Lepisosteus oculatus: one gene and its partner. The protein of the gene in region 1 purifies or fractionates together with the protein of each later gene. This does not show direct contact. Links are inferred from orthologs where the notes say so. Each region holds a gene or a part of one and is shown on either strand. Other genes may lie near its edges.

Region 1 (7,763 bases):
ATTCTGGTCACCACATCACAGCAAAGTTATTGCTGCTGCACTGGAATTAGCCCAGAGAAGAATAACTAGATACATTCCAGGGCTTAAGGGAACGTCCTTCTCTGGAACACAACCCTTCTAGCCTTGAACAGTGAAGAATACAAGGGGACGTTATGTAGGTATTCACATCCCTAAAAAGCCCTGACAAAGACGACCCCGTTGGATTTCTTCAGAGCGAGCACCGAAACTCGAATGAGAGGACACAAAGGGGAAACGATGCACAAACGCATTTAAAACTCAGAACAGGAGGCTTGTCTTTACACAAAGAGTTGTGAGAGTCTGGAACAGACTGCCCAGGCTTGCTGTGGAAACCCATCCACTGGCTTCTTTCAACTAAGGTCTGGACGAGATCCACTGGCTACTAACGACCACACAGGTTAGACCTCTCGTTTCTAAGTGGCCTCGCGCTCCGAGGTACTGACTGTTGACGGCGATCCACTCGTTGAGGTCCTCGCCCTCGGGCAGCATGACGGCCTGCCGCAGGTTCCCGCTGCCCAGCGTGGCCTCCGCATGCTTCAGCAGCTCGTACTGGTGCGAGCCCTCCGGGATGTTCTTCTTGGGCTTGAAGGTCTTGGAGGAGCGGCTGCCGCTGTTGCAGAAAAGAGGAGAACCCCGTTACAGAAACGAAGTTTCGGGTCAAGTCGTTACTTCGTAGAGCGTACTTTCACCACCCACCACAGCAACCGGGGCGACCTTCACAATGTCTCGTTAATGGCTCTCCCATTGTGTAAGAAAAGCCATGGGGAAGTGTCTTTATAAAAAACTGTGATCAGGTAGACTGTAATAGGGGGTTAGAAACAACGTTTAGGCTTCAAGTGTGAAGACACCCGAAGAAGGCTCCACAGCCAACACATTGAGTTTCTTTTCTTCTCTTTCCAGCATGGAGAAATGCTTTACTTGTTCCTTTTGCAGCCTCCGCATGCTGATGCAGCCACTAACTTGAACCTTAGCAGGAGATGTCAAGGACTTGGAAACCATTCTAACCAGCTCCAAGCTGAGCTGCTCCGACTTCCAAAAAATAGATAAGTAACGAAGTACTGCGGACTAAACTCAACTTTACTTCGCTCGATGACTTCAGGTTTCCTCAAAAGCTCATCCTTTTGTATTCTAGTTCTGCAAAATCACAAGGCTGGATGTTTTATCGCTGAAATAGCATTTTGGCTCAAGGCCACCAAGAAGCAGGATGTGAAGTGTCATATGATAGTCAAGTTCTCAATTTTCCACTTTTTAACTCGGTCCTAAAAATCATCTTCTACTTAATCATTCGAACAGATATCACCTAATTCTATAAACATATTTGTCATATCATGCCCAAAATGAAAAATACAAGCATGAGCCCCCCCAAAAAATGCCTGGTTATGGAGGTTGAATACATAAATTATATTTACTGCTGCAACCTTACTTTCAATCTTTTTATTTAAGATTTTATTTAACAAACTGAAGTATGTCCAAAATTCAGCAGCCAGGATCCTGATCAGGTCTAGTGCAAGTGATCACATTACTCCTATTCTGGAGTCCTTGAACTGGCTTCCTGTCAAAATTCTGTGTGGACTTTAAAATCCTCATGCTCTACATGGCTTGGCACCTCAGTACCTGTCTGAACTATTATCGCCCTACTCCCCACCTCGCAACCTTCGCTCTTCGAATTCTGCCCTCCTTACTGTCCCCCAAGCCCATCTACATTCTATGGGTGACAGGGCCTTCTCCTGTTATGCCCCCAAGCTCTGGAACTCTCTGCCCAAGGATATCAGAGTCACCTTCTCTAAACTCCTTCAAATCCAGACTCAAAACCCTCTTCTTCAGAAAAGCCTTTACTTAACTGGTTCCATTCTTCACCCCTCTGCTTTTCAGAGTACCACCATCCACGGTCTCCTCTGCATATTGTAATTGTGTTTTATGCTTTTTATTTATTGTTGTTCTCATTCTGTAAAGTGCTTTGTGAAGCCACCTTTAAAGATGCTATATAAAATAAAGTTTAACTCGAATGCTCACCCGCACCTATGATGCACCTACTACGATGCAAGTATCGAATAAAACCCCTCAGATCACATATCAATGTAATGTATGATGATAAATTCTAGATATACGGTTTCAATTTACTATTACGCGCAGAACTCCCATAATTTTAGTTTATTTTGTGTTAATAAGAATGGTAAATGTAATTGACCAGAATTAAATAAATACTGACTTCTTGCCCTCTCCCAAACGGTTTACTTACTTTTTGTCGTTTCTTAAGATTAACTACGACGACATGCTCATTTTTCCGTGGAGGTGGGTAAATTACCAGCAGTTCCGTCTAATTGATCTCTGAGATCACGGATTTTGCAAGGGCTTCTTCAAAAGCTTTGATCGCTAAAATGTTTTCTTTTTTCTCATTGTTTCGAGAAAGCTGAAATAAATCTTTTTTGCGGAGTAGCGGTGGTGGTTATTATATAAGCCGTCTTTTGCGTGTGTGCCAGCAGACTAAGTTAACAACAGAAAAAACACCTCCCCAACTTATTTACGCCATTAGCCATCTGAAGAGGTACAACCTTCGTACCGCACTTCTTGCTTCGTGAAAATAAAGTTTATAATTCGTCGTTTCAGTGGGTAACCATCGATATTTGTGCCAGAGTTTACGGCAATAACAAAGGAAGTCTTTTAGACAGCAGAATTGAAACAAAAGTTCAAAATAAAAACGCTTAAACTGAAAACAGGAAGAGATTAACATTTCTCATTCTACTTACAAGAGGAAACTCATTTCCAAGTCCGGATGATCACAACTGTGCCCTCTCCCACTAACGAAGAAAAACAAAAAAAATGGTCGTTGCTTACTTGAAACAATTAAGAATATAAGAGACAAAGGATTCTGAGGGAGTAATATTTTTTTTCTCCACTTCAGACAAATAAAATGAAATATTTAAAAGTGACTCGAAAGACCCTTGTTGCGACTCTCATCGCACTGAAGGGAATCAGACCGCAAGTACAACCGCGATATCGCGAGACTGGCCCTCGAGATGTGCAGAACTGTGCCAAATAACACGCATCTGCTGCCCCCTTCTGGATAATTAGCGCTAAAGTACTGTACAGTATTAACTGATTCTCAAAAACACAAGTCGGAGTACTGTACATGTCCATGCGGCGGAGCCACAATCCGACAGTTTATATGGGTCACCCTTATGTCATTAGTTTCTAAGTGCTTGGATCAAGTAGTTTAGAGATCGTTTGAAATGAAAAGAGCAAAACCCTGTAGCTCTCAAGCACTGTGGCTGACCATTCCTGACCTAATTGGACCTATTCATGTGCTTCATTGATCAAACCTCGCATGCGTTCCAGGCCTTTACAGAAAGCTGATTTCAATGTGACCTATGAGATCTGCTGGAGTGTGCTTTGCCAAGTGATTTCAAAGTATTTGATGAGACATCAAATTGTAGAAAAATAATAAAACTATTCTAATGTGAATCTATATTGTTTACAGTTTTTGCAAAGAATTAAAACCAGGACATTTCTGTAGATGTGTGAGAAAAATATGAATGAAATTCCCTCCTTGTGTACAGTGTCTGTTGGGTTAGGCTCCAGCCCGTTAGGGTGAATTAGAGTAATGAACGTAAAGGTACACCTATCCTTCAAACAAATCTGAGAATGCTCGTCACTGACCGGCAGAAAGAACTAAATCTTTTCAGTCTTGAACAGAGAAGACTACAAGGGAACCCGATGCACAGATTAAAAATCCTCCAAGTCAACGAAGTGGACTTCTCCAAAATGATTAGCGAAACACGAACCAGAGAAACCTCAGAACCTATGTGGAAGTGCAGTTAAAACTGAGAAAAAAGAGGCTCTACTTTACCCAAAGGCTGAAGTGTGGGGGTATGAAACAAGCTACCCAGCCATGTGGTTTAAACCTATACTTCAGCTTCCTCCAGGAAATGAGATCTGTGGATCAATTAGCAAATACCTCACCACATTGTACAACACAGGATGAATGCCCTCCTCTCATTTGTGATCTTTCTTATGCTCTTGTTTATTGCCAGAATGCTATATGCTGCCTATGAAATTCAAACAAGACTGTTAGTATCAACCATGTACAGAGTGCTCCACCTACATGTGGGAGAGGACATTTCTGAGTTATTCCTGTCCTCAGGGTAAGAGCTGTAATGACATGACCCCAGGAACTCATTGCTGAAAACATCTTAATCACACAACACTTTGAATGGATACATTTTTCCTTAAGTAGGATATTCACTCCAATGTGTTATGTAACACCACATAACTCTAAGAAACATTTCAGGTGGAATTTAAGGAGTAATGTCTCTGAAGAATGTTGCTTGCACTGAAGAGAGTCTAATACAACAATGACTGGTCAAGACAGCAATAGAGAGAGCTGGGGTTACAAAGGTACAGTGTAAATAAGGTCCTAAACTTGACTAGATGCTAGTTTGACTTATAATTGTTAGTACAACTAAATCGAACCAAGAAATGCATCAGCTGTCAGGATTTCAAGTGTGCCTTTCAACAAAGTATTGTTCTCCTAAGAGATGTTTACAGCGAACACAAACTGCATTTCCAGCATTCTTAAGGACAAAAATCAACTACGTAAAAAAGGAGGGAGAGTTAGAATTATAGAAGTCATTAAGAAATAATTAAGATTTTGAAGAAAATTCTTCAAACATCTTTGCCATCCTATTGACAAACAGTGGTGTTTACAGTGAAGGGAGGTGGTGACCAATCTCAAAGTGATCTCTGTAAAGACATTCACCATTCAGCTGGGGTTCAGAGTTGCCTGCAGACTACAAAAGGTCACCCTGCATGAGGGTATTTAAGTAATTCACTGCTTTAGCACTCTTGTGGTGCTGTTAACAGAGCACTTTCCACTCCACACAGCAGCCCAAGAGCACAAATCGGTCTCTTCACCTCACCATTCCACTCACTCCTTCAGCACCATGGCAACAGCGCAGAGATGACCCACCACACTTAGGGTCCTACCAAACCCTTCCACAGAAGTGCTGTCTCTTTGCACAACCACACATCACATACCTCTGAGATGTTACAGAATTTCACCACTCAGGTTTAAACTGAAAGTAGCTAACCAGCTGTTGTGTTTCTGCACTGCACATGTAGGTGAAATTGGCTTGATGCATTGAACAAACAAACCTTCTGCATGTCTGTGTTAAAATGTGTCTTTGAGTAATCTTGTCTTTAGTACAAACTTGGGGTTATAATAATAATAATTATAATAATAATAATAATAATTGCTTACATTTATATAGCGCTTTTCTGGACACTCCACTCAAAGCGCTTTACAGGTAATGGGGACTCCCCTCCACCTGGATAATGCGATAGCAGCCATAGTGCGCCAGAATGCTCACCACACATCAGCTATCAGTGGGGAGGAGAGCAGAGTAATGTATCCAATTCTTAGAGGGGGATTATTAGGAGGCCATGATTGGTAAGGGCCAATGGGAAATTTGGCCAGGACGCCAGGGTTACAGCCCTACTCTTTATGAGAAACACCCTGGGATTTTTAATGACCACAGAGAGTCAGGACCTCGGTTTTACGTCTCATCCGAAGGACGGTGCCTGTTTACAGTATAGTGTCCCCATCACTATACTGGGGAATTAGGACCCACATGGACCACAGGGTGAGCGCCCCCTGTTGGCCCCACTAACACCTCTTCCAGCAGCAACCTTAGTTTTTCCCAGGAGGTCTCCCATCCAGGTACTGACCAGGTACCGAGCTTCAGGGGGCTGCCAGTTGTGAGTCACAGGGTGATATGGCTGCTGGCATTACCACTGGGTTACCACTTACACAGCTCAGATGTGTTTTAATAGATTCACTGGGACCAAATGATCTAAATCTACTTTACTTGTGTGGGTAACAGAAAATGTCCTGTAACACAATTTGGAAAGGTGGAATGTTAAAATATTTGTATACAAGATTATCTATAGATTTTGGAAACACGTCACATTTCACAATATCGACAATTGTGAGGGTAACCGTTGTTGCCAAGGCTAGTAAGGTATTTAACACGTAGGTTCCGCTCTGTAAAGAATCGTTCTTAATCCAATTCCTTGACAACAAAATAAAGACCTACTACTGTAAATAAACAGTACATATACTGCAACTTCAGAACACATCTCAGCTATAAAGAACTCTCGACAGATTAATTGAAAACATAGATCGTAGAAATCACCACACGAACTATTAATGGAAGTGTTTAAAGTGAATTGTGTTACAGAATACCGTTTAAAAAGGAAAATAACTATTACATTCGAGAAAACCGCGCTACCGGAACTCCGTACGGCTCCCAAGATGCAACGCTCCGCAACCGAACGGAAAAAGGCGGAGTCGAGCGTTCGGTTTCATTAATTCTGTTGCGTCATCTTCCGAAACACATGGAAATCTCCTTAGCGGGCGGGAATAGAAATTGAAGGGGCGTGGCTACGAGTGCAACCCTACTCTTCTGAACGGGGGGAGGTGTGGCCCTCTGTGATTGACGTCATAGCATCTGTAAGAGGGAAAAAAAAGCTCACACCTCGCCGGCTCTCTTCCGTCCTGGACGTTCCCGGAGTCAGTTTGGGCTGCTTCTGCTCTTCTTTAATTTCTTATTTTCACTGTCTTTTTTAATTTGTTTATACACCCCCCTTATCCAATGGCTACATTCCGAGTACTACGATCAATCTGTACGCCTACACACTACCAAGTGTGCCGGTTTCACCTATCAGCTGCAAGGTAAGTTAAAAACTAATACGGTGCAAAGATACATCTGTTGTGTATTCTGTATTTCTGAAACGTTCAGAAACACCTTGATTACCTTTGAAATAGTTTACGCTGTATCTTTTGTGAAACGAAGGCGGAAAATGTTATTTTTTTTTATAAGTTAAAAAATTACACACTGTTATTTGTCCCTGTTTGGCTGTCAGTATCCAAGAAACCGCTCTCTTTGGAAGGCGGAGATCCCTTAAATATCTAAGTGACCGTACAGCTAATAACTTGAACCCATTTAAATATATTTTAGAGTCTGTACTCCTACTAGAGATTTCTTATTCGTTCTGTAATCTTATTTTAAATTGGCATTTGTTTTTCCAGTATGCTGTAAGAGTAATTCTTTAAAAAATAAATGCCTGTGTCGCGCCCCCTGGAGTTTGTGTGTGGAAGTGCATCGCGGATGATGAAATCGCAGTGAATGCTTGCGTTGTGCACTGGCAGGCTGGATAGTCTGTGACTGTGTGGCATCGAACCTGGGCTTGCAGTTGTGGCTGTATGCATCAAAACAGCCTGTGTATTTTTCATATTATGTTATTTTTTTTGGCTGAACGAAATTACACACTATCTCATAATATGTGTGTTTTAATGTCAGAATTAGCACTTGTCTGTTTGCTTCAACACCAAACATGGAAGTTTTTTTTTTAAATATTGTCTGCCTAATACTGTAATTTCATTTTGCTGCATGTTCGTTTGTAATTTCCTCGCCAGTTGTATCCAATTGAAGTAGACGAGAGAAGGAACCGCGTGTTTCTCGTGATTTCCAGTAATTTAGTTAAGGAAGTGAGAGGCGTATGGTATTATACAAACTCCAAAAGGTGGTTCTATACAATGTGAATAAAGCTTATATCCCTTAATACGATATAAACGTAAAACTGTCTATTTCAGATTCTGAAGTTGTCCCAACACCCTGCTACTTAGAAAATTCCAGTCGTTTGACCTTTGTGGTCAGATAAGAATTCAATTAAAATCTTCCATTTTA
Region 2 (7,087 bases), on another chromosome or scaffold:
ACGGTTGAACTGGACACACATAAAGGATTCTCCTCGTGAACACTGCTCATCTCCAGTCCCTGCCACTCCATGTCATTTTCTGGAGATGGGATGTTTTGCTTTGCCAAAGTTGGTCGGAAGCCTATATATGCATGTCTTCTGCCATATCTCCTTCCTGTGATCGTCTGATAGCCTCCAGCTGGTTTGGGCCAGGCTGGCTTGCCTGCTTCCTGACCCATTTCTGTAAAAAGTGGAGAAACTCACATGAATCTTTGGATAAAAAGTACTCAGAGGAAGACAGATGGGCAACAAACAATAATTCAGTAAGACGGTACTGAAACCATTTAACATACAGAGCATTCCTAGGTTGTAGCAATAGCTGAATAGGCTTAATATGTTTTCCTTGATTTATATAGAAAATACACAATTGAATTCAAGTTGAAATTTATATTGGCAAAATGTGTTAACCTGACATGAGAGACAGAATCATCAAGGTATAATGACTTCATAATGTGAGAAGATAAAATTTAAAATTTTATGAAATATTTTAAATTAGAAGTTTGAAAAGAGCAAAAACTATCTGTCTGCACTGCTGGCAAAGTATTATAAAGTAGAAAGATCTTCAATGTATTTTATTGCCCAAGCAAAATTATTCTTAAGGATAAATGTCTCCTCCAAGGAGACCTAATCTAGCTAAGAGAATTAGCTATGAGTCACAACAGTCGCCAGTCAGAGCCTGGCAGCAACTGAATGCAGTAACTTTCAAGTATTAGTGCAATTCTACCAAATGACAATTTTGTATAGTTAACATGCACCTTTATTATATATTGATCATCAGAAAAATGTATCACTTATGTGTGTAACTAAATTATCAGGAAAAAATATTCTTAGCAGCAGGAACAATGAGTTTATTGAACATTAATGACTCAAGACAATTCATTATGCCGATTAACATTTGTCAATAACAGGGGTCTTCAATCTAGTAGCATGAGTGACAAGCAGTGGAAGCAACATACAGTAAGCTTACATATATGGGATTACTGATGTGAATAATTTTGGCCCATACCTTTGGACAAGCATGTACTTGTGTACTGATATGTAAGCCCTAGATGTCACACAACAAAAGTGGGAATGTGGATCAAGCTGGGTGAGTAATTACCATGTAATTAAGCCGCTACATGTGCAACATGAGAAGGAACATTGTCCTTTTGAAATAATGTCAGGATGAGCAAGCAGAAATGGCACCAAGAAAGGCTTAAGGATTTGATGGAGGTAATATCATGCAGACAGGTTGCCATTAATCAATTAAGTTGAGTTCTATACTAACTATACACTCCAGCCAAGACCATCACACCCAGATGCTGATGTCTCAATCTTGGCAAGATATCAATCACTCATGGTGCTGCAAACTGCAGCCTATAATTGACATCAAGCAACAGAGCACTGTCAGACTGTCATGTTTTTCCTTTCTGTATTTTTATTTCTTGTCTTTCACCCTACTTGAGATTCAGTAGGTAAAGTCACCTCAACTTGTAAATTAACTCTTACTAATGAGCTGGGTTAGAGTTTAAACATGATGTTAACTGAATATATTATTGCCAGTAATGAATAATCATTAAATAAAAATGATACCAAAACTATTTAAGCAATACCCACAGTCTGTAAACTTTATTATTAAAAAAAACATTCATGCATAAAGAAACTGGTGTTTTTGATCCTCAGTATAATTCATACTTACCACTCTTACCATACATACCACTCTATGAGCACAAGAAAGAAGTCAATACCACTGTTGTAATAAAGTTGCATAACAAATGTAACTATTACTTAAAAACATAAAAACTATAAAACAATATAATTATAATATGGTATGCCTTAGTGACAACTTATTTAATTAACCTGGAGGTTTGAGACTGCTCATTTATTGCTTTGTTTCTCTCACAACACTTAGTATGAAGTACAGTATTTTCAGACACCCAGTCTTACATTAGAGAACCATTCCTAAAATGCTACTAGTTCTACCAGAATGAAGAGTAATTTAGACACATCCTGCTTGCAAACACTGCCATGTGAAATTAAATGTCTCAGAAAACTAATCTATGTAAGCAAGATTTTAAACAAGTTCTGCAGCCTCAGTTATTTATTTAGAATCAATGCAGAGTGCAACAAGATCATTTATTGGTCTCACATATATAAAACATTTTAAAAAAAGAAATAAGCCAAGGGATCCCCAGCCATGTCAATAAAATTGTGTATACAAATTAGACAGCTTCCAAAAACTAGCCCAATATTCAATTTTTCTGGCATTAAAGATTTGATGTTTATTAATATATACTGGTACATACATGCAGTCAATTGCATTTTCAATGAAGATGACGTACAAATACCTGAATACTCTTAAAACCTCAATCACAGAACATTATTTCTATTTAGGGGCTTAAAAATAGTTTTTTTTCCATCTATTTAGTGGTAATCACTTATGAAACTAAGTGGAGGGAACATATAAGGGTTGCGATAGGATGTTTTGCCTTAAATCCGGATAACAAAACAATCCAGTTTGACTTTAATACCGTGTGACTTACTGATTTGGAGGTATATGATAACTCTAATTACCAAACAATACTTACTGATTCCATCGCTACCGCTTAACTCGGCACGCTTAAAACTGAAAGGTGAAATCTTGTTAAACATTGAAACACTACAACTATCCTCCACTGTTTATCTCTGTGTGCATACAAATATGGTAAACATTAGGCCTTGTGTCTTATTCTTGCGCTCTATCCTTTTTTCTATGAAGCAGAGCTAACTGAAATCATCGGTGAACCTTTATGACACATAATGCTAGGTGTTATTGAAATAGTTTATTTGATAAATGCATTAATCCAACTAAACTTCCTTTTAATTCCACAGAAAACAAACCTTACCTGCCTTCCAGAGCTATTACATCAACTAAAGCCGCAACCAACTCCGCCCACCAACGACAGCAACACAGGACGGCGTCATCTAATCTTTTTGTCCAGTCAGTGCTGGGAGGAGTGTGCTTACAGCCAACACGTATCCAATCAGTCAGAGACGAGGATCTGGATTTCCCAGACCCAGTGGAGATGACGGGGTAGGAGGGGGACCTGTCTATTATGAAAGTGGTACTCAGTTTTGTTTAAAGAGACGTGGGGAAAAAAAGTTGTACGAATAGTGAGCTTAGTTTTAGGTTTTGTAAGGCAATCATCCGCATAAAATTCAGCTGTTTAGCTGAATTTGTTTGCTTTGGTCTACAAAATAGCAATAACGAACGAATACTGACATTTTTCTAAAGTTTAAGCACCCCAGTTTTGGACTAATCAACTCTTCATAAAACCTCCATGAGACAAATGATTGGTTTATGTCCTTTAATCAACTGGTAAGGACTTAACTAAATATGAAAGTTTAATAACAGGCATCTAGGTTTCTTTTTTATTTTGAAAATGAAACCCTCTTTTCAACAACTTCTTAAACTACAGGACGTATGCTGAATATTTCGCAAAACTGATGTGTGTTCAATTCTTGCAAAAATATTTTATATGTGGGTATACTTAAAAACAAATTTTGTTTAGTTTTCTGTGCTTTGAAGTAATGCTGTGAAGGCAAAAATGTTAAGAATTTTTAATCTACCTCTGAATTTCTACAAACTACACTTATGTTGACGATTCTGACTACCCCTTATTGCACAATCTTGCACTTGGATTTAGAGCAACCTATATAGTACAAAAACAAAAACAAAGAGTGCATACAGCAGTATTAGACATGGTATTCTCTTAACAGTGCTCCCTGGTGGCCAAAAGGAAACACGTGTTTTTTACTTCAGCAGTACGTCACTCCAGATAAACATCACTTTAACTGGATCAAATTCACAAAGTAACTGTTTCAGTTTCACAAAGATATTTGCAGATGCATGAATGTTTTATTGAACAAACATGACATAAATTCATTGCTGATTAGCATTTGTCTTCAAGAGGGAGTCTACCGTGAAAGTTACAGGCTGTTGACACTAGAGGAAGAACTACAAGGTATGTATCTGGAGTACGTACTTTGTACCAGGTGGCAGCTATTTTCTTGTGGGATTCTGTCCAATTCCTCTCATACAGCCTGCACAAGCATGTGCCTGTTCACTAGTTTCTAAGCCCTAGATGCCACAAATTGTCCCAGCTCATTCCCAAACAATTCAGCGGGGTTGCTCCTGGAGTAGATCATACATTGTTTTGCCCTACAGTTCTTCCTTTACTTCTTCCACCCACACACTAAAAACTCCCTTCCTTCCTCACAGATCCTCAGATGTTGTCAGTTATGCAGTGGTGATACCGACTTTCATAAACAAACACTTATAATGCTCTTTTTCTTCATTGAGTGAAAATACCCTACAAACAGCTTCGGCAAGGCCCTCAACCCAAGTTACAAATAGCCCTCTCAACATTAACCCAACACACAACATTAACTGCAAACCCAGAATTCCACTGGTGCATCCCTTCCACCCCATCAAACTGTCTATTCCCATGGTCATCAAAGATAACCTCTATTTTACAGGATGCAACAATTTTCCCAGACCACCCTGTGTTATCCACATGTTATCCACCACCTAAGCTACACAACTCTCATTTTCGTAGTTCCTTTAACAACCCACAACCTCATCCACACCAAACACCATTTTCTATAACAGAAGTCACTGTATCACCTGCAAATATGTATCTCATGCGATGCATATACTATATGGCCCCTCGAGTTATTTCATAATCAGTTAAAGAATATCTTTTGTATTTAGTAATTTAATTTACTGCATCTCTTGCAGAAAATGCTCTTTGGCTAAGGATCTGTGCCTATGGCTGGAAGGTTGCCGGTTTGTATCCCGTGGCCGGGTGAGGAATTCTACTCCATTGGGCCCCTGAACAAGGCCCTTAAGCCCAACTGATCCAGGGGTGCTGTATAAATGGCTGACCCTGTGCTCTGACCCCAAGCTTCTCTCCCTGTCTGTGTGCCTGTGTGTCTCATGTTGAGAAAGTTGGGGTATGCAAAAAGACAAATTCGTAATACAATGAATTGTATATGGCCAGGATCTTATTTTATCTAAATGCCCTGCCGTTTGCATTGGTGAGATTGGAGGAAGACTAGCTGACTTTTTCAGGGAACATTTCAGCACAGTGAGGATCAAAAATCTGTCTAAATTGATATTTCCCCCTTTTCACATAGTTTCACAGACCTTTCTGTCTGCATCATTTTACAGGGATTCCAGGACTCCAATTCCAGAAACACAACAGAAGCCAAGTTTATTCTTAAGCTGGATCAGACCTTCCAACGTCTCTCAACAACAGATTAATTTCCTATTTAAGCCTCTTTATTTACAGATTTCAGCTTTTCACACCTCTCCTCCAGACCCCCTTAACTGTAGATATCATCACTGTGTGGCCTTTTTCACCTGTGCCATCTTCCTCTCACACCTGAAGGAGGCCCAATAGCTGAAATGTTGTTTTTTCTTTCTGTTTTCAACATGGAATTAACCTTTACTTGTTCCTTTTGCAGCTAAGCACACTGACACGCTCCTCACTCAAACATTTGATTGAATGTTGAGGGAAGAAAGAAAGAGAAATCTTAGGACTGGATCATCAGCCACTTGATCATCAGTCACTACATGATTTCCATAGTGAGTAGACACTCCTGCCCCGATCATCACATTTGTATATCCCCATTAGTTAGTCTGTTGCATGCAAATATTACTGTATATTTCTGCATGACTGCACCACACTTGTTTATGTCCATCATGGAGGTCTGTGCAAAACCTTTATTCATCACTGAAAAGGACTTGAATCCGTTACTATTGGTTCCATTCTGTGTGTTTTTAATTGATTTTCACCAGGCTTAACATTCAACAGGTTACGTCACTTCATCGCCTGTGCCCAATCAACTCTCTCACTAATGAGGTGAGTATTCATAAAATATTCAAAATCACCCATGTGTATCATAGTCATGAAAAATCAATAAATCAAAATGCTGCCAAACACATTTAATCTTCATCCTAGGGTTAATCCCGTATCGGCAGGGGCCGCTTGTCGGCACACCCATCTCCATTTGGCGTGGTCATAGGTGTATTCCAGGGCGACATTCACTTTCCGCATGTCTTCAGTGATCTGATCCATCTACCGCTTCTTGGGCTGCCCTTGTGGCCGTCGACCCTGTGGGCTCAGTCGAATCGCTGTCTGTGCCACCATGTGCTCGCCACTTCTCATCACATGTCCATACCATTGCAGTCTTCCTTCTCATATCTTCTCCGTTATTGGTGCCACCTTCATGTGTCAACGGACATCGTCATTGAGGATGTGGTCAAATCTTGTTAGGCCGAGACACCACCGGATCATCCTCATTTCCATGACATGGAGGGCCTGCTCATGCCTGGAAGTTGCTGGCCAGCATTCCGATCCATACAGGGCGACAGGACGGACAATGGTCTTGTAAACTTTGACCTTGAGTTGGATTGGCATCCAGCAATTGCATAGAACGCCGGTGACCTGGCACCACTACATCCACGCCGCGTTCACTCTGGCCATGGGGTCTGAGAGGGTGTCGCAATTGCTGCTGATGATGGAGCCAAGGTATTTAAACTGCATCACTTTCTTGAGATCTTCACTACTGATGCTGATAGTTCCATCCGTTTGAGGGCCGCACTCCATGTGCTCGGTCTTCTTGGTGTTCAGCCGCATTCCATGCTCGTCCATTCGGATCTTCTATCTCTGTATTTGGTGTTGGAGCTCTTGGCATTCTTCATCCACCAAGAAGACATCGTCGGCGTAGAGCAGCGACCACGGGTGAGGTGCCTGGAGGTCGGCCATCGCCGTGTCTATGCAGAGCACAAAGAGCAGGGGCGAAAGGGCCGATCCTTGGTGAACGCCGACGTTGATGGCGAAAGGCGGTGAAGTGCCCACAGGGCCTCGGACGACGCTGGTGACGTTGCGGTAAAGAAGCTGGACCCATTGGATGTAGGCCTCTTGGACGTTGTGTAATTGTAAGGCATGGCATTTGAGCTCATGTGGGATCTGATCAAACTGTTTGGGATTCGGTAAAAGAAACCGAAACCAGTGAATGAACC

What was found.
Region 2: the proteins of MOB kinase activator 1A (region 1) and pja2 purify together in Homo sapiens (affinity purification with western blotting; 3 studies listed by BioGRID). This does not show direct contact. The link is inferred for Lepisosteus oculatus from reciprocal best matches to the Homo sapiens genes MOB1A and PJA2.

What each region holds. Positions count from the first base shown.
Region 1 is NC_090697.1:68,319,163-68,326,925, forward strand, and holds the start of MOB kinase activator 1A, read right to left. Parts: upstream 3,015-7,763; 5' UTR 2,780-3,014; coding exon 2,766-2,779; intron 629-2,765; coding exon 462-628; intron 1-461. Other genes in the region: mthfd2 (bifunctional methylenetetrahydrofolate dehydrogenase/cyclohydrolase, mitochondrial), read left to right, coding at 6,669-6,748. UniProt on the Homo sapiens protein: Activator of LATS1/2 in the Hippo signaling pathway which plays a pivotal role in organ size control and tumor suppression by restricting proliferation and promoting apoptosis.
Region 2 is NC_090698.1:29,445,396-29,452,482, forward strand, and holds the start of pja2 (E3 ubiquitin-protein ligase Praja-2), read right to left. Parts: upstream 3,011-7,087; 5' UTR 2,904-3,010; intron 221-2,903; 5' UTR 219-220; coding exon 20-218; coding exon of another isoform or gene 3-19; intron 1-2.